3 linked regions of the Macaca fascicularis genome follow. The protein of the gene in region 1 binds, or shares a complex with, the protein of each later gene. Links are inferred from orthologs where the notes say so. Each region holds a gene or a part of one and is shown in the gene's direction. Other genes may lie near its edges.

Region 1 (5,981 bases):
CTGCTTTTAGAAACAGAAACAAGGCTTGTATATTTGTTTCATTGTTGAAAGTGGGACATGCTCCTTGTAGAAAACCTGGAACATACAGTGTAGTAGAAAGAAGAAAACCCATCAGAGTTAGCTATTTTTAGTTTATTATCTTGTAGTTTTTTGCAAAATGTAGTTATGATCATATAACACGGATTTTGAATTCTGATTTTTTAATTATAACGTTATGGTAAACATTTGTAATGTGATTAAACTTGAATCCCATTTCTATTTCCCATTTCAGTATTTATGTATTTAATCCATTCTCTTGAAACCAGAAAATTGTAAATATATTTAAACTTTTACAGACAGCTTTTTATGTAAATGTTTCATACATTAATTGTTCCAGAATAGTTGGGCATTTAGGTTATTTCTACTTATTTGCGTATTAGAAACATAATTGCACTGAACAACTCTTTAGTCTTCATGAATATTCATAAGTGATCTTTTGGGCAGTGCTTAGGACACTTTGGTCCTAGATCCCACTCTGCCCCTTTTCCCTTCTGCAAAGCATAACTGCTGAGTGTAGATGCTAGAGTCAGATGACCTAGATTCATTCCTGGCTACATCGTTTACTATCTGTGTGACCTTAAGCAGATTATGTAAACATTCTGAGACTCAGTTTTTCTAGCAGTTAAATGATGGCAGCAGTAGTTTCTGCCTTGTAATGTATGACAGAATAGGATGAGCTATTCTACCTATAACACTTAACACATGCCTGGCATGTTGTAATCCTTAAATAGATGTCATTATTTTTAGTGTTACTATCACCAACCTTACAGGATTATGATAAAGACTGAATGAGAAAAGTGCTTTGCCAAATATGAAATGCCTAACAAGTAGAGGATGTTATGATTTTAGTGATTTGATCTTATTTGGAAGCATAAAATCTCCTATGTGCTTAGTTCAGGTTTTAAGAAGTGAATTTCTGGAACAATGCCAGGTTGTGTAAGATGGATGAAGCATTGGCGTGCTGATGTTTCTTGGTAAAGTCCCTGCTCTCAGCCTCCCCTTTGGTATTAATGCGGGAAGTACTCTTGTCTCGTAGAGCTCTGGCTGGAGTGGCTGCACGACGAGATCAGCATGGCCCAGGACGGCCTGGACAGAGAGCATGTGTATGACCTCTTTGAGAAAGCTGTGAAGGATTACATTTGTAAGTTCCCGTGGACTTTTTTAGGGTATCTGAAAATGTCATGTAGATCAGTCTGCTGTTGAGGACTGTATTATGAGATGCTGCTACCCAGAAAAGGGAACTTTAGTCTAACAATTAGCAAGATTTAAGTTCAATCGTCTTGTCATTGTCTTTGTTCTTTAATTGAGGAAGTGTAGTTTTAAAATAAAAGTGGAAGAAGCGCTTGCAGTAAGGGAATGAGTACACTCACACTCAGGATGTACTGACAGAGCTTACATGGCATTTCCTGGTGATCTTTTATACATTGAATAGGGTTTTAGAGGTTTTGGACAAGATGCTTTAAAAAAAAAAGATGAAAACATTAAAAGAAAACCTTTTTATTTTGAAGTAATTATAGAGTATAGGAAGTTGCAGAAATAGTACAGAGAAGTCTTGTGTACTCACTTTACCCAGTTTCCTCCAATATCTTGTTTCTGTAGTACAAAATCAAAACCAGGAAATTGCCGGGCGCGGTGGCTCAAGCCTGTAATCCCAGCACTTTGGGAGGCCGAGACGGGCGGATCACGAGGTCAGGAGATCAAGACCATCCTGGCTAACACGGTGAAACCCCGTCTCTACTAAAAATACAAAAAACTAGCCGGGCGAGGTGGCGGGCGCCTGTAGTCCCAGCTACTCGGGAGGCTGAGGCAGGAGAATGGCTTAAACCTGGGAGGCGGAGCTTGCAGTGAGCTGAGATCCGGCCACTGCACTCCAGCCTGGGCGACAGAGCGAGACTCCGTCTCAAAAAAAAAAAAAAAAAAAAGAACAACAACCAGGAAATTGACCTTGGAACAATGGGAAAAAAAGACATTTTATTACATGTGTAGATTCATCTAACCACTGCTGCAGTCCAGATACAGAATCGTTCTGTCCCCACAGAGACCTCCCTTGCCTGCTGGTATTGACATCTTACCGGTGCAAGTGGAGTATAGAAGACTCACCTCCCTTTAAGTCTCTTTACTGTGCCCTGTATATAGTATAAGTGTCTTAAATATTTTCTGTATGTGAACTGGGGACCACATCAGACAATGCTGTGGACAAAATGCTATTAAAAAGCGTTTTAAGGCTGGGCGTGGTGGCTCACACCTGTAATCCCAGAACTTTGGGAGACCGAGGCTGGTGGTCACTTGACATTGGGAGCTCAAGACCAGCCTGGCCAACATGGCAAAACCCCATCTCTGCTAAAAATACAAGAATTAGCCAGGCATGGTGGCACGTGCTTGTAATCTCAGCTACTCAGGAGGCTGAGGCAGGAGAATTGCTTGAACTGAGGAGGTGGAGGTTGCAGTGAGCTGAGGTTGTGCTACTACACTCCAGCCTGGGCAACAGAGTGAGATTCTGTCTCAGAAGAAAGCATTTTAAGGTCAGGCTTGGTAGCTTATGCCTGTAATCCCAGCAATTTGGGAGATCAAGGCAGGCAGCTCACTTGAGCCCAGGAGTTTGAAATCAGCCTGCCCAGCATGGGGAAACCCCATCTCCACTAAAAATACAATTAGCTGGGTGTGGTGGCATGTAGGCCTGTAATCCCAGCTACTCAGGTGGCTGAGGCATGAAAATTGCTTGAACCCAGGAGGCAGAGGTTGCAGTGGACCAAGATTATGCCACTGTACTCCAGCCTGGGTGACAAAGTGAGACTCTGTCTCAGAAGAAAAAAAAAAAAAAAGGCATTCTAAAAATTTCCCCTTTCAGACTGGGGGTGGTGGCTCACGCCTGTAATCCCAGAACTTCGGGAGGCTGAGGCAGGTGGATCTCGAGTTCAGGAGTTTGAGACCATCCTGGCTAACACAGTGAAACCCCATCTCTACTAAAAATACAAAAAACTAGCCAGGCGTGGTGGCACACACCTGTTGTCCCAGCTACTCGGGAGGCTGAGGCAGGAGAATCACTTGAACCCAGGAGGCGGAGGGTGCAGTGAGCTGAGATCATGCCTCTGCACTCTAGCCTGGGTGACAGAATGAGACTCTGTCTCAAAAATCAAACAAACAATTTCCCCTTTCAGATTTCATATCCTCTTCCTTGTTGATTTCCCACTGGGAGCAGTCCCTCTTGTGAGAAGCATTGCTGCTTACCATATAGACTGTTCTGAGATAGAGAATTTTTTGTGTATCTTTGCAAGCCAAAAAGAATTCACAATTTTTTGGTTTATAATCTGTATAATGAAAATAAGAGGTGTTTTATGAATATACAAGTATAGTATGTGTGTGTGTGTGTGTGTGTTATCTTTTTTTTCTTTTTTGAGAGTCTCGCTCTCAGGCTGGAGGGCAGTGGTGTGATCTCGGCTCGCTGCAACCTCCCCCTCACCTGAGTTCAAGCGATTTTCCTGCCTCAGCCTCCCAAGTAGCTGGGACTACAGGTGCCTGCCACAACGCCCGGCTAATTTTTGTATTTTTAGTAGAGACGGGGTTTCACCATATTGGCCAGGCTGGTCTCGAACTCCTGACCTTGTGATCTTCCCGCCTCAGTCTCCCAAAATGCTGGGATTATAGGTGTGAGCCACTGCACCTGGCCAAATGTATTTTTAAAAACTATATCTGTACCTCTGCTCTGTGGCCCATGAGTCTTCTTTTAGAACCACTGATAATTTTAGCAGTGCATGGTGTTCCCATGATTTCTGATGATCCTGTTACCCACTTCTTTCTCTCTCACAGCCATTGTTAATAGCACCAGTTATCTTTTTCTGAGGATCTATGGTCTTCCCCAGACTGTAATGTTTTTTGGTCCTTTATGGTCATCTCTGCTGTTAGGCCTTCACTGTCATTTAGTGCTGCTGTCTGAGAACTTTTTTGGTAGGCACATTTCTTTTGTTTTGCATCAGTTTTGATATTTGGGTATTTTATACCCCAAACTAATTGAACACTTCTTATTTTTAGGTCCTAACATTTGGCTAGAGTATGGCCAGTACTCAGTTGGTGGGATTGGTCAGAAAGGTGGCCTTGAGAAAGTTCGCTCCGTGTTTGAAAGGGCTCTCTCGTCTGTTGGTTTGCATATGACCAAAGGACTCGCCCTTTGGGAGGCTTACCGAGAGTTTGAAAGTGCAATCGTGGAAGCTGCTCGGGTGAGTACCTGTGGTTGTCTCTGAACAGGCTGGGGCTGTCTTTGTAAGTCTCCTTGGAAGGATTATTTTGAAACACATGTCCAGGATGAATCTTGCAGTTCATATAGTTAACAAAATGGTCTTTGCCAATCCCTTAGTGGTTGGGTGATAGATAACCTTTTTTATACCCCTTGTAGCATTTGGTTCAATATGTATGGAAGAGGTCGTATACATTTTTTTAGCTTGAACTGAAAATTTGTTGAGATACTTTTTGAAGTAGAAAGAACCAGAGTTGGCCAAGTACGGTGGCTCATGCTTGTAATCCCAGCAGTTTGGGAGGCTGAGGCCAGATGATCTCTTGAGTTCAGGAGTGCAAGACCAGCCTGGGCAATATAGTGAGACCCCATCTCTACAAAACATAAAACATTAGCTGGGCGTGATGGCATATGCCTATGATCCTAGCTACTCAGGACTCTGAGGTGGGAGGATTGCATGAGCCTGGAGCATGAGGCTGTAGTGAGCTGTGATCACACCACCGCACTCCAGCCAGGGTGACAGTGAGAACCCTTCTCAAAAGAAAAAACAAAGAAAGAACCACAGTTTGTTATTTACTACTAATTTGCTTCTTTAGCCCGTAGCTGGCTTCCTTTCCCCTTTTGACCGGGAACAAACCTTTGATTCACAGCTTGAGAAAGTCCACAGTCTTTTCCGGCGACAGTTGGCGATCCCACTCTATGGTAAGAGAAACTGACATGTCAATAGCCAGCCCTCTATGGTTTTTAAAATACTTTGGGGGAATGACATGTAGTTAGACCTTTCCCACCATCCTGTGAGGCAGGTAAAGCTTGTGTTCTTACTGTCCTTGGATATTGTCTCTCGGGATGAGGTCCTAGGTAAAAACATCTTGAATGTTAGTGCTTAAGAGGGTTGTGAGGGTCAGAAGCAGGACTGGAAGCCAGACTCCCTGACTCCTAGGTGAGAGCTCTTTTCTCCTTTGAGACCTAGCTGGAAAGGCAGAGATAGGGTCTCTGAAAGGAATAGTGAATGACACCGGTATTTTTGGGGGAAACGTCATTGAACAAGAGTTCCATTATAATCATTTTCTCTTCATAAGTAACCTCTTCCGTAACAGCAGGAATTTTGCGTGGGTTTAGATCATTCCTCTGTGGGAGGGATTTCGTTCAGAAGTGCAGTTGATTGGAAGTACTCATAAGTGAGTTTCTTGGGGGTTGGTAAAGAGTTTCCTTATTTTGTAAATACATTTTGGCAATCTAAGCCTTTTGAGTCTTTGGAGCTGTGAGTGTGTGTGTGCTGGGAGGATTTTTCTGAGTATGGGAAGAGTTTGGCATGGCTGTTGTGTTTGTTCCCTAGACACGGGCATGTGTTGTACATACTCAGAACCTCTGGGCAACTTTACTGGAGCCCAGGTGTTATTTCTCTTCATGGTTTATTGGATTTAACACGTTATAAAGTAGTTGTCTAATCAAATGATTGAGTGTCATGCAGCAAAGGCTAGAGCTGAGCTGGCTTGCAGATTTCACTTCACCTACCAGCGTGAAACAGCCTAGCATAGTGATTAGAGTGTGAACTTGAGCCGGACTGCCTGGGTTCACAGCCTTGCTCTACCATTAACTGTAGACAAGCAGCTGAACCCTCTGCTTCAGTTTCCTCAACTGCAAAATGAGGATCACAATAGACTACTTTGTAGAGTGGAGTTGACTGAATGAGTTAATGGATGTGAAGTGTTAG
Region 2 (6,709 bases), on another chromosome or scaffold:
GGCCAAACACAACATAAAAATAGTAAATCTGTTCAAATGACCTACCATATTTTCACTGGGCCAGTTCCCCTTCCTTCACCCCTGACACAAAACATAGCTCATCTTTTCCACAGGAATAGGGTAGAAAAATAAGAATAAAAAAATAAAATAGACATGGCTCATCTGTTTCTCCTCTTCTCCCTCACAGCCACCTCCATAGTGAGAGGGTCCTAATGGTTCTGTGTCTGAGAACCCTCAGTCATTTTGTCTCTGCTCCAAAACTTCCTACAATGCCTGCCTGCCTTTTAAGGCAGGATATATGGTCTGTCTGGCCTCCTTTCTAGCTTTAGATCCCCTTAGGTTGTAGTAGTGTTGTAGTGCCCGGCTCAACTGGCCTAATCCCCACTCTCTGATACTGTCCTGCCTGTTCCAGAAATTCTCTTCTGGTCCCTTGAGTCTCCCCTCCTGTTACATGCATCCTCATCTTTATTCTGCCAGCATTTTTTTTCAATACCACACCCAAATGTTACTCAAGTCAAAGGTTTCCTATGAGAGCAGGGGTTGTGCCTGGTGTTCTACAGCCTTTGGTTCACACCCTTTTTTTTTTTTTTTGAGATGGAGTCTGGCTCTGTCGCCCAGGCTGGAGTGCAGTGGCCGGATCTCAGCTCACTGCAAGCTCCGCCTCCCGGGTTTACGCCATTCTCCTGCCTCAGCCTCCGGAGTAGCTGGGACTACAGGCGCCCGCCACCTCGCCCGGCTAGTTTTTTTGTATTTTTTTAGTAGAGACGGGGTTTCACCGTGTTCGCCAGGATGGTCTCGATCTCCCGACCTCGTGATCCGCCCATCTCGGCCTTCCAAAGTGCTGGGATTACAGGCTTGAGCCACCGCGCCCGGCCTTTTTTGTTTTTTTTTTTTAGAGGGGGTCTCACTCTGTCGCTCAGGCTGGAGTACAGTGGTGCAATCTTGGCTCACTGCAACCTCCGCCTCCTGGGTTCAAGCAATTCTTCTGCCTCTGCCTCCCGAGTAGCTCAGACTATAGACATGCGCCACCACGCCTGGCTAACTTTTTTTTGTATTTTTGGTAGAGATGGGGTTTCACCATATTAGCCATGCTGGTCTCGAACTCCTAACCTCGTGATCTGCCCGCCATGGCCTCCCAAAGTCCTGGGATTACAAGCATGAACTGCCCTGCCGGGCGCCCAGCACTTTTTTTTTTTTTTGAGAGGACATTTCCGTCTCCACGTTGGTCAGGCTGGTCTCGAACTCCCGACCTCAGGTGATCTGCCGGCCTCGGGCCCCCAAAGTGCTAGGATTACAGGCGTGAGCCACCGCGCCTGGCCGGTTCACACCCCTTATTTGTATTTACTGTTTTTTTGAGACAGGGTCTCACTTTGCCGTCCAGTCTCGAGAGAAGTGGCACCATCTCGACTCACTGCAACTTCGACCTCCTGGGCTCAAGGGATCCTTCTACCTCAGCCTCCCGAGTACCTGGGACCACAGACGCGCGCCACCTCCCGGCTAATTTTTGTAGAGACAGGATTTCGCCATGTTGCCGAGGCTGGTCTCTAACTCCTGGGCTAAAGCTATCCTCCCGCCTCAGCCTTCCAAAGTGCTGGGACGACAGGCTTGAACCACTGCACCTGGCCTGGTTCACACCCTTTAATTGCACTTACCACATACTGCTAGGCATTGAGGTTATTTCTGAAACATCTCTACTCTTCCACTAGATTCTATGAGGGCAGGAACTAGGTCTTATTTTTCTCTGAGGACAAGAACTGTTAGACAAGTGTATGGAGACTCATCTAGGCCTGACTTCCTCTTTCCTCTGGGTTTATTTCTCCCTCCAGGAAGAGGGTTGTGTGTTTGTGTGAGCGGGGCGACTGGAAAACACAGTGTTCAGGACGTTGTATCTTGTTCCAGGAACTAAGTACATGCCTGGGTAACTAATGTGGAATACCTCTCCTTCCCCTGTTGCTATCGCCCCTCTGTGGCTGCTTGGCAAGTAGCTCAGTATGAAGAGCTGACGGAATTCTCAGGTGGGCCAGGTGGCTCTGGCGTCCAGATTGTTTAAGGCGACTGTTAATAACTACAGCACACCGTTCAGTCTTAGTCCCAAGGCGCTGATGCACGTGGTACTTCCCGAAATCCCTGTTAGGGCCGCTGGAGCAGGAGCCCGGATCCCACGTTTGGGCAGCTGACTCGCCTAAGGCCTCCAGCTGAAAGCGGAATGGCAGGGGTGAGAATGAACAGACCTAACTACGGGGCTTCTCGCACCTGGCCTGCATTTATTTAGGACCAGGATAACCTCGAAGGCCGGGCTAGGGTGCCCCATGGGTCGTGGGCTTGCTGTCTGACTCCCTGAGATCGGCGGGCTGAACAGAGCTTCATCCTGTAGCGCCATCCTGAGCAGAGGAAGGGGCGCCCGACGACCGCGTAGCAGGCGGCAGGGCGGGAGGAAGTAGCAGCTGCTGCTCCCCACCCACCCCTCTCGCATCTGCCTTTTCGCTCCACTGTTTGCCGGTGAGCGAAGTGGCGCGAGACTGGAGGGGATAAAAGACAGCGGCTGCAGGAGCCGAAAGTCGCGGCACGAGGTGGGGCAGGGGCGGGCACGCGAGCGTGCGTGCGTGCGTGCGTGGGCGCGGTCTATAGCACGCCGCGCGCGGGGCGGATGTCCGGGCCGGCTGGGCCGGGGCTGCGGACGAGATGGCGGAAGGTGGAGGCTTTGGTGAGCGACCGGATGCGGAGACTCAGAAGTCGGAGCTTGGAGCCTTAATGAGGACCACACTCCAACGCGGCGCGCAGTGGTGAGCATCCGGCTCTCTCTTCCTCTGTGCAGAACCAGGGGCCGAGTATCTGGCCCTTAGGCCAGCCCCCTTTTTCTCGGCTACAGTAGGGGCTGGGCGGGGATGGTATGTAGTGACCCTGGAAGAGTAGCCTGACACCTGCCCCTCGGGAGAACTCCAGGATCAGCTCTGGGAAAGCGCAGGCGGGGCCTGAGGGTCGCCTCGGCTCATTTGGAGCCCCAGTGGGTGGGCCCGGCGGGGGCTAGGGGGATGGATGTGGAGAAGGGGAATGTTGGCGGGGACCCTGAGGGTGGGGAGAGCCCTTTACCATGAGGACTCGCCGTGTGACCTTGGGCGAAGGTGTCACAGACCTGGATTCCTCACTGTTAAAACCAGGATAGCAATATTTGGCTCTCCGCCCTCAGTGGGTTGAGGCGAAAATCAGAAGTACTTTGTAACTTGTAAACTGCCAACAGATGTCAAGGTCAGAAGCTGAACAAATGTCTGAGAGCCCCAGATTATTTTGGTAGCAAGTGTCAAAAATATTTGTGACACCAGTATCTCGGAGTGGGAGAGGGGGATAGCCTAGGTCCTGGAGCTAGATAGAAGATGAAGAGTCCAGAATTTAGAAGACCCAGGCTGAGTTATTGGGCATCTTAACAGATTGTTTGGTGGAGGGGACAATACTTTGTACTACTGGAGAGATTCCTGGGTGGTATTATTGTGTAGTACAAAAACTAAGGCTAGACTTTGCATTTAGTATGATTGAGTGTTACCCATCTTGTTTTTTTGTTTGTTTGATTTTTTGAGACAGAGTTTCACTGTTATTGCCCAAGCTGGAGTGCAGTGGCGCCATCTCGGCTCACGGCAACTTCCGCCTCCCGGGTTCAAGCGATTCTCCTGCCTCAGCCTCCCAAGTAGCTGGGATTACAGGCTCACACCACCATGCCCAGCTAATTTTTTGTATTTTTAGTACAGACTGGGTTTCACCATGCTGAGCAGGCTGGTCTCGAACTCCTGACCTTGTGATCCAGCCGCCTCTGCCTCCCATTACAGGTGGGAGCCACCGTGCCCGGCCCGAGTGTTACCCATCTTTAAGAAACCATTGTGGGCCGGGCGCGGTGGCTCAAGCCTGTAATCCCAGCACTTTGGGAGGCCGAGACGGGCGGATCACGAGGTCAGGAGATCGAGACCATCCTGGCTAACACGGTGAAACCCCGTCTCTACTAAAAAAATACAAAAAACTAGCCGGGCGAGGTGGCGGGCGCCTGTAGTCCCAGCTACACAGGAGGCTGAGGCAGGAGAATGGCGTAAACCCGGGAGGCGGAGCTTGCAGTGAGCTGAGATCCGGCCACTGCGCTCCAGCCCCGGCGACAGAGCGAGACTCCGTCTCAAAAAAAAAAAAAAAAAAAGAAACCATTGTGGTGATGACCTACAGAGGAATTGAGCTGGAGGATAGAAAAATTGGGGTTATGAGGAGTACAGATAACAGCTTATGTATTCACCTTGAGCTAGCCAGTTTGTGAAAGTCAGAGTAAACAGGTACTTTTTTTGTGGGTTTTTTTTTTTTTTTTTTTTTTTTTGAGGAATTTCGCTCTTGTTGCCCAGGCTGGCGTGCAATGGCGTGATCTCGGCTCACGGCAACCTGTGCCTCCAGGGTTCAAGTGATTCTCCTGCCTCAGCCTCCCCAGTAGCTAGGATTACAGGCATGCGCCACTATGCCCGGCTAATTTTTTTTGTATTTTTAGTAGAGACAGGGTTTCTCCATTTTGGTCAGGCTTGTCTCAAACTCCCGACCTCAAGTGATTCACCCGCCTTGGCCTCCCAAAGTGCTGGGATTATAGGCTAGAGCTACCACGCCTGGCCTAGCAGAGGTACTTCTCAAGTTAACCTGTATAGGGCTCATAAAGAATACTCAGCAGAAGCAGAGGAAGTTTAAGACTAAAATCATACAGTAAAATTGTATGGAAGGTATTGCTCAAGGGATTTGGAAGAAAAATAGCATTTTCGAGACGGATGTGTTTATGGATCCTTGTGACCTCTGGGAAGTTGCCTGAACTCCTCTCACATTTGTTGGTTATACAGTTTTAAGGATGCACCAATATACTTGTTGATGCTTTGTTGCTCCACAGAGATTCTGTTTAAATTGTAAAACAGCAGAGTGATACTTTTTTTTTTTTTTTTTTTGAGACGGAGTCTTGCTGTGTTGCCAGGCTGGAGGAGTACAGTGGCATGATCTCAGCTCACTGCAATCTCTGCCTTCCGGGTTCAAGCGATTCTCCTGCTTCAGCCTCCCTAGTAACTGAGATTATAGGCAGGCACCACCACGCCCAGCTAATTTTTGTGTTTTTATTTATTTTTTTATTTATTTATTTTTTTTTGAGACGGAGTCTCGCTCTGTCACCCGGGCTGGAGTGCAGTGGCCGGATCTCAGCTCACTGCAAGCTCCGCCTCCCGGGTTCACGCCATTCTCCTGCCTCAGCCTCCCGAGTAGCTGGGACTACAGGCTCCCGCCACCGCGCCCGGCTAGCTTTTTGTATTTTTTAGTAGAGACGGGGTTTCACTGTGTTAGCCAGGATGGTCTCGATCTCCTGACCTTGTGATCCGCCCGTCTCAGCCTCCCACAGTGCTGGGATTACAGGCTTGAGCCACCGCGCCTGGCTAATTTTTGTGTTTTTAGTAGAGACGGGGTTTCACCATGTTGGCCAGGATGGTCTTGATCTCCTGACCTCGTGATCCACCTGCCTCAGCCTCCCAAAGTGTTGGGATTACAGACATGAGCCACCTCTCCCAGCCAGCATAATGATACTTTAAAAATATAAATAGGTCTGGCACAATGTCTCAGGTCTGTAATCCCAGCACTTTGGGAGGCTGAAGCAGGAAGATCACTTGAGGCCAGGAGTTCAAGATCAGCCTGGGCAACATAGCAAGACCTAGCCTCTACAAAATAAAAATATAAAAATAAATTAGCCAGGCATGGTGGTATGTACCTATAGTCATAGCTACTCAGAGGCTGAGGCAGGAGGATCACTTGAGCCCAGGAGTTTGAGGCTACAGAGAGCTATGATTGTGCCACTGCACTCTAGCCTGGGTGACCCTCTCTCTAAGGAAATAAATAGATAAATAAAATACCACATTTGCTTACATTTAAGTAAAAAAGTGGTAAGTTGGCCGGGCGCGGTGGCTCAAGCCTGTAGTCCCAGCACTTTGGGAGGCCGAGACGGGCGGATCACGAGGTCAGGAGATCGAGACCATCCTGGCTAACACGGTGAAACCCCGTCTCTACTAAAAAAATACAAAAAACTAGCCGGGCGAGGTGGTGGGCGCCTGTAGTCCCAACTGCTCGGGAGGCTGAGGCAGGAGAATGGCGTAAACCCGAGAGGCGGAGCTTGCAGTGAGCTGAGATCCGGCCACTGCACTCCAGCCTGGGCGGTAGCGAGACTCCGTCTCAAAAAAAAAAAAAAAAAAAAAAAAAAAAAAGTGGTAAGTTGAATATGAAGCACAACTTAATGCTTTTTGACAAGATGAACATACCTAAGTGCTATTATATGTACATGTGTATGTGTATATTTATATATGTACACGCATGTTATATACTTTTTTTTTTGAGACAGGTTTTTATTCCTGTCACCCAGGCTAGAATGCAATGGCGTGATCTCAGCTCATTGCAACTTCTGTCTCGCGGGTTCAAGTGATTCTTGTGCCTCAGCCTCCCGAGCAGCTGGGACTATAGGCATGTGCCACCACACTCAGCTAATTTTTGTATTTTTAGTAGATGGGGTTTGTTGCCCAGGCTGGTCTTGAACTCCTGAGCTCAAGTGACCATCCGCCTCAGCCTCCCAAAGTGTTGGGATTATAGGTGTGAGCCACTGTGCCTGGCCTTGTGTGTACATTTTTGGAACTCATTTGGTCCTTAAAAGAAAACAAGTGGATGGTGTTTCTAACCC
Region 3 (5,981 bases), about 46 Mb from region 1:
TTTACTTATTCACTCTTTTTTAAGTACAAGATTGTTAACATTCTTTTCAATGGTGAAAAACTATAACAGTGCCAAACCACATCCTTACCTCTCTAGTTTGTAACTTTGCAAATATACACCAATGAGTGTAATGGAGCAAGAGAGCATAGAATAATGAGTATAAATTTACTGCAACAAAAAATAAATGTAGATATTTTATTCCTCTAAAGCACATTTGTTAGAGATAATATTCTCCCATGCCAATAATATAAGTAATCTATATCATAATAGTGGCAAATTGCATTAATTTACACATTAGTCCATAAGGTATATGATAAGTACTCTTCCATAAATTGGGCTCGAAATTATTTTTCCAGCAATGTGAATTTCATTGACTTACCACTTTTCTCATTTGGTGACCAATGATATAAATTTGTGGAAGTTAGAGCCATGGTTAGCACAGAGAAATTCGGTTGTTTTGTGTTTTGTTTTTTTGTTTTTTTTCTTTTTTCCATTTAGAGGCAGTACCAACTCAAATACAGAATGATCACTTGCTTTAACCAGTTCGTGAGGAAAGTGAAATTAGCTGAGTTTGCCTATTTGTTGAGTTTTCCCATCACTGAAGTTGATTTAGGTCATGGAAGCTTATTAGGAAAAATGTTGAATGTGTATTATGTCTTGGGCTCTCATGCTGTGCAAGGTGCTAGAAATACAATGGTGTTTCTAGTCCTTGTTCTTCAAGAAGCTTGTCATACAGTGTGAAAATTGCTCTGACAGGGTGCTGCAAGAAAACACAGAAAGAGTAACCTACCCAAACTAGTTATGAGGCCTGTGATGAATTCTGAAGGACAATTAGGTTATAAGCAGGGGAAAACTAGAAATAAAAGCATTATAGGGCAAGATAGTGGCATGTAGAAAGAACTTATGGCAAAAGAGGACATGGCCCACTTCTGTAGTCTACAAGTATGGCAAGCAGGAGCTAGATCACAAAGAACTTTGATGCCAGTATAAGAAGTTTGAACTTCATCCTAAAAACTAGGGAAGCCATTAAAGACTATTAAGTATAGATATTATATGGCCAGAATTGTGTTTGAGAAAGATGATTCTGGCTAGCACAGAGATTGGTTAGAAAAGGCTTAGCACTAAGACCAGATAAGAAGCTTTTAGTGATCAGACGACAGACAAATGACAAACGCTTCAGCTCAGAAAATGAGTGTCAGGATGGCAGTTTGAAGAACCAGTTGAATGTGGGAAGTGAAAATGTATGAGTATATTCAAAGATGATGCCAAGTTTACTTGACAGGAAAAGAGGAGACAGCAGTGCTGTTTTAGTGGAATATATAGGAAGAACAAGTTGAAGAAGGAATCGATTTTCGTATTGAGCATGGTGGCCTAACATGACCCAATCCTGTGTTTAGCATTGGACATGCTGACTTATAGATGCATGAGAACACTTAGGTAGAGATATCCAGTAGGCAATGAATTTGTGTATCTAGACCAAAGGAGAGAGACTGCTTTAGATGTAAATTGGGCAATGAGCTCTATGAAAATGATAGTCAGTGTTTTAGAAGAATGAGATTACTTAAGGCTAAGGTGACCCTGTGATTTATCATCTAAACAAGAACTCTTTTGAAAATAGAAGGGACTGTCATTAATAATTATACTAGGATATCAGGCTAATCCAGGACTGGCCAAAGCAAATCAGGAGATACTGTCACCTCATCCAGGGAGAGCATATAAAATTGAGAAGAAGGCTAAAGACAAAACTCTAAAGAACACTATAGGAGAACTTCAAAAGGAGAATATGATCATAGCAATAGAAAAGAATTAAGAAATAGTCGTGTTATAAGGAAAGGGAATTTCTTAAGGAGAAAGTGGTCAGCAGTCATATTACAAAGAGGTCAATAAAATAAAGACTGATAAGTTGTAAACAGTATTGGCAGCCTTGGAAACAAGTTAAATAAAGAGGTGAAGACAAGCCAGCAAGAGGGTTGAGAAGTAAATGTGATAAGGAAATTATAATATAGATACCATTAATAAAGTTATTTATAAAATAGAGGAAAAGGGGAGATAATTAGAGGGAAAGCAATGAGGGACGCTTGTTTTTTGAGAGACTTTATATTCCAGTGCTTATGCAAGAGTCAAGATAAAATGGAAGAAAGAATAATTGCTGGGTTTAGGTCCCAGAGAAAGCAGAAGAGCATGGGATTTAGAGCATAGATGCTAGGGTTAGCCTTGAATAAGAAAAGAGACACCTGTCTTCCCATGTGTTGCAAGAGACAAAAAAGTACCTATATGTATTCAAAGAAGTTAGTAGGAGAACAGGAAGTTGGAGATTTTCCCACCCAGTAGCTTCTGTTTTTGAGGTAAAATAGGTATTCTGCTGATATTAAGGGAGCAGTAGTGAAATAGGAAGCCTAAAGAATGGTGAAGTTTTTTTGTTTTTTTGTTTGTTTATTTGTTTTTGAGGCGGGGTCTTGCTCTGTCACCCAAGTTGGAGTGCAGTACGGTGTGATCTCAGCTCTCGCTCACTGCAACCTCTGCCTCCTGGGCTCAAGGGATTCTCCCACCTCAGACTCCCAAGTAGCTGGGACTACAGGTGTGTGCCTCCATGCCCAGCTAATTTTTTGTATTTTTGTAGCAACGGGGTTTTGCCATGTTGTCCAGGCTAGTCTCGAACTTCTTGGGCTTAAGCGATTCACCCGCCTTGACCTCCCAAAGTGTTGGGATTATAGGCGTGAGCCACTGCACCCAGTCCGATGAAGATTTTAAATAGTTATTGAGATAAATGAGAGAATAAGCAGATGTGTGATATGCAGAATTATTTCTGGGTACTGTCAAAGGGTCGGTTGAGATTGGGCACTGTGAATTTGTAGCACACCAACCTCTAAAATTGAGAAATTTTCTCCAGCACATATGAACAGCTCTGAGAAAGTTTAGCAAGAGTGGAATGAATAGAATTGAGTAACAAAGACATTAAAGGTTCGCGATAAAGCATGTAGGGCCTGGGTGGAAGGGCAAGAAGACAGTAGGGAGCTGGTAAACTGGGAGAAAACAGAGTTAAAAGGAATAGAAATCTCTGTGCAAGCCAAGAAGAGAGAAGAATGAATTTCCAGAAGTAAGAAGTAGCGGTTAGACAGTAGCCTGTTAGTTTAAGATAGTAAAAGTGGGGCTGGGTGCAGTGGCTGACTCCTGTAATCCCAGCATTTTGGGAGACTGAAGCAGAAGGATCACTTGAATCCAGGATTTTGAGACCATTCTGGGCAACATAATGAGACCTCGTCTCTAAAAAATAAAAATTAGCCACTCATGGTGGCACACGCCTGTAGTCCTAGCTACGCAGGAGGCTGAATTGGGAAGATGGCTTGAGCCTGGGAGGTTGAGGCTGCAGTGAGCCAAGATCATGCCCTGTACTCCAGCCTGGGTAACAGAGTGAGAGCCTGTCTCTAAAAAACAAACAAAAAAACATAGCAAAAGTGGGAGCAGTTTCAAGTGATGACAGGATCTAATAAGTTGACTAAGGTTGATTAATGCAAATGTCTTTGAATTGAGGAACCAAGGAATGATAAGACTAGGACAAATTATCCATGTGGACATTGTCACCCAGGACCCAGGATGGTGGCAAGATTAGAAACAAACACTGAGCCAAATGCCAAATGAATGTGAGGTAGCAACCATGAGGTCACTCTCATTTACTGAATTTTTTTTCCAAAGTAACAAATTTATTACAATTCTTTTTTGTTTTTTAGTACAAAGTGGTTGTCCCCAAAATTGGAAATATATTAGATCTTTGTACAGCATTGTCTGCTTTGTCAGGAATACCTGCAGATAAGGTAAGATGTTTCTGGGGTTGAAGTATATAAGTTGGTATTTAGTTTCTTAGTGTTGTAAAACCAGCTTAATAGAAATTTATTTCCTTTTAGATGATAGTTACTGATATATACAATCATAGATTTCACAGAATATTCGCTATGGATGAAAACCTTAGTAGTATTATGGAACGGGATGATATTTATGTGTAAGTATAAAACTCATTGTGCAAAATATTACTTGAAAAAAAAATCAAAAGAAGTAACCTAAAATTTTGAGAGTTTATGGTCAGTTTTGTCCTTGTAGGTTTGAAATTAACATCAATAGGACAGAAGATACAGAGCATGTGATTATTCCTGTTTGCCTAAGAGAAAAATTCAGACACTCAAGTTATACCCACCATACTGGTTCTTCACTTTTTGGTCAGCCTTTTCTTATGGCTGTACCACGAAACAATACTGAAGACAAACTTTATAATCTCCTGCTCTTGAGAATGTGGTAAGTGCCAAACAATTCTACATTGACAAAATAAATATGGGAATAAAATATAAAATAGCTAATAAAAATAAACACACAAGGTACTATCAGAATATAATTATACAAGTCTGTATTGTCTCAGTTTTGTTTATAGTCAGATTATAGTCCTAATCCACTTTCTTATTCACGTAAAACACATTATGGAGGTAATTTCAAACCCAGGAAGCATGAAGTCTGTAGCAATTTTAGGCCAAAAGTTTACAGTTGGAAGGAAATAGGAATTTATGTTATAATAATTATGTGTTACATGTTTGTTCTGTGAAATCATAACAAATGTCAAATGCTATATGTTTGCACTGTGAAATGACAAATGTCAAATGCTTCATTTCTTTATATACATTACCAATTCATGATTAATAGTATTGTAAGGCAGCCTATTTTTTGCCTTCCTAAATCCCCTTATTTGAATTATAAAGTTATCAAGAATGTCATTTGATCCCTTTTATCTTTGAAAGCTGATATATTTAGTATTCTTTCTTGCATATCTAATTATTATGGTTTCATAACCCATATGTAAAGATCACATTATACAAAAATAAGTGTTTTTAGCAACAATATATACCATCTAAATGAGGATAAGTTGAGAAATTATTTGCAACAAATATTTAACATTTAACCTAAAAGGTAACGTACTAATTATTTTTATAAAGAGGAGCAAAACAAATTATTAGTCAGCTATATGTATGGTACTGTAAGTTTGATTTTAACCTTGAATCTACTAAGTGACCACTGTTACATTAAAAAGTTTTGTTTTACTGATAGAATGAAAACATTTTTAAAGTTTTTATCTTTGTAGTACTGAACTTGTTTGATTTCTGATTTTACTTAAGCCGATATGTCAAAATATCTACTGAAACTGAAGAAACTGAAGGATCCCTACACTGCTGTAAGGACCAAAATATTAATGGGAATGGCCCAAATGGCATACATGAAGAAGGCTCACCAAGTAAGACTTTTCTGTTAAATTATAAAAATGTTTCACTTAAATAATTGCTTCAGAGAGAAAGTTAAGAAAATGGGAATTAAAGAGCTAAAAAATACCTGCAAACCTACGACTAATAATATTAATAATTTAAAAATATAACATTGAGTTTATTTAAAGTTCTCTAATATCTAAAATTAGGTGAAATGGAAACAGATGAGCCAGATGATGAATCCAGCCAGGATCAAGAACTTCCCTCAGAGAATGAAAACAGTCAGTCTGAAGATTCAGTTGGAGGAGATAATGATTCTGAAAATGGATTATGTACTGAGGACACTTGCAAAGGTCAACTCACGGGACACAAAAAACGATTGTTTACATTCCAGTTCAACAACTTAGGCAATACTGATATCAACTACATCAAAGATGATACCAGACATATAAGATTTGATGATAGGCAGCTTAGGCTAGATGGTAAGTATTTGTGAAAAATGGCTTGAACATTAAACAAGCAGAGCATGTTTTTTTGTTTTTTAGGTGAAAACCATGAAATTCAGCCCTGTCAAGAAATACACCATTTACTTTTCTATCTCAAATTTTATATGAAAGGACTTAATATCTAAGTAGACCAAAATGTGTGTCTGTGTTTCATAAATGGAGATTGAATTCATGCTTAAGTTTTCTATCTTTTTTTAAACTTTTAAATTATTTCAATGGCTTGGAAACTGCTATT

The links.
Region 2: the proteins of SART3 (region 1) and USP4 are in contact, whole or in part, in a crystal structure (PDB 5CTR), measured with the Homo sapiens proteins. The link is inferred for Macaca fascicularis from reciprocal best matches to the Homo sapiens genes SART3 and USP4. Residues at the interface, in NP_055521.1 of Homo sapiens: Asp437, Ser438, Ser439, Lys440, Gln490, Arg493, Glu494, Trp496, Asp497, Met500, Thr501, Ala505, Trp511, Tyr514, Lys529, Arg533, Cys537; in NP_003354.2 of Homo sapiens: Met24, Thr27, Leu28, Ser53, Trp54, Glu123, Gly125, Leu126, Phe127, Val128, Lys129, His130, Cys131, Lys132.
Region 3: the proteins of SART3 (region 1) and USP15 are in contact, whole or in part, in a crystal structure (PDB 5JJW), measured with the Homo sapiens proteins. The link is inferred for Macaca fascicularis from reciprocal best matches to the Homo sapiens genes SART3 and USP15. Residues at the interface, in NP_055521.1 of Homo sapiens: Ser438, Ser439, Lys440, Glu443, Gln490, Arg493, Glu494, Trp496, Asp497, Met500, Thr501, Ala505, Trp511, Tyr514, Arg533, Cys537; in NP_001239007.1 of Homo sapiens: Ser23, Leu24, Asp48, Trp50, Gly121, Met122, Phe123, Val124, Lys125, His126, Lys128.

Annotation. Positions count from the first base shown.
Region 1 is NC_088385.1:115,380,419-115,386,399, reverse strand, and holds part of SART3 (squamous cell carcinoma antigen recognized by T-cells 3), read left to right. Parts: intron 1-1,075; coding exon 1,076-1,180; intron 1,181-4,068; coding exon 4,069-4,253; intron 4,254-4,863; coding exon 4,864-4,969; intron 4,970-5,981. UniProt on the Homo sapiens protein: U6 snRNP-binding protein that functions as a recycling factor of the splicing machinery. Promotes the initial reassembly of U4 and U6 snRNPs following their ejection from the spliceosome during its maturation.
Region 2 is NC_088376.1:112,332,612-112,339,320, reverse strand, and holds the start of USP4 (ubiquitin carboxyl-terminal hydrolase 4), read left to right. Parts: upstream 1-2,653; 5' UTR 2,654-2,682; coding exon 2,683-2,783; intron 2,784-6,709.
Region 3 is NC_088385.1:69,321,006-69,326,986, forward strand, and holds part of USP15 (ubiquitin carboxyl-terminal hydrolase 15), read left to right. Parts: intron 1-3,728; coding exon 3,729-3,812; intron 3,813-3,902; coding exon 3,903-3,997; intron 3,998-4,095; coding exon 4,096-4,287; intron 4,288-5,156; coding exon 5,157-5,272; intron 5,273-5,449; coding exon 5,450-5,722; intron 5,723-5,981. UniProt on the Homo sapiens protein: Hydrolase that removes conjugated ubiquitin from target proteins and regulates various pathways such as the TGF-beta receptor signaling, NF-kappa-B and RNF41/NRDP1-PRKN pathways.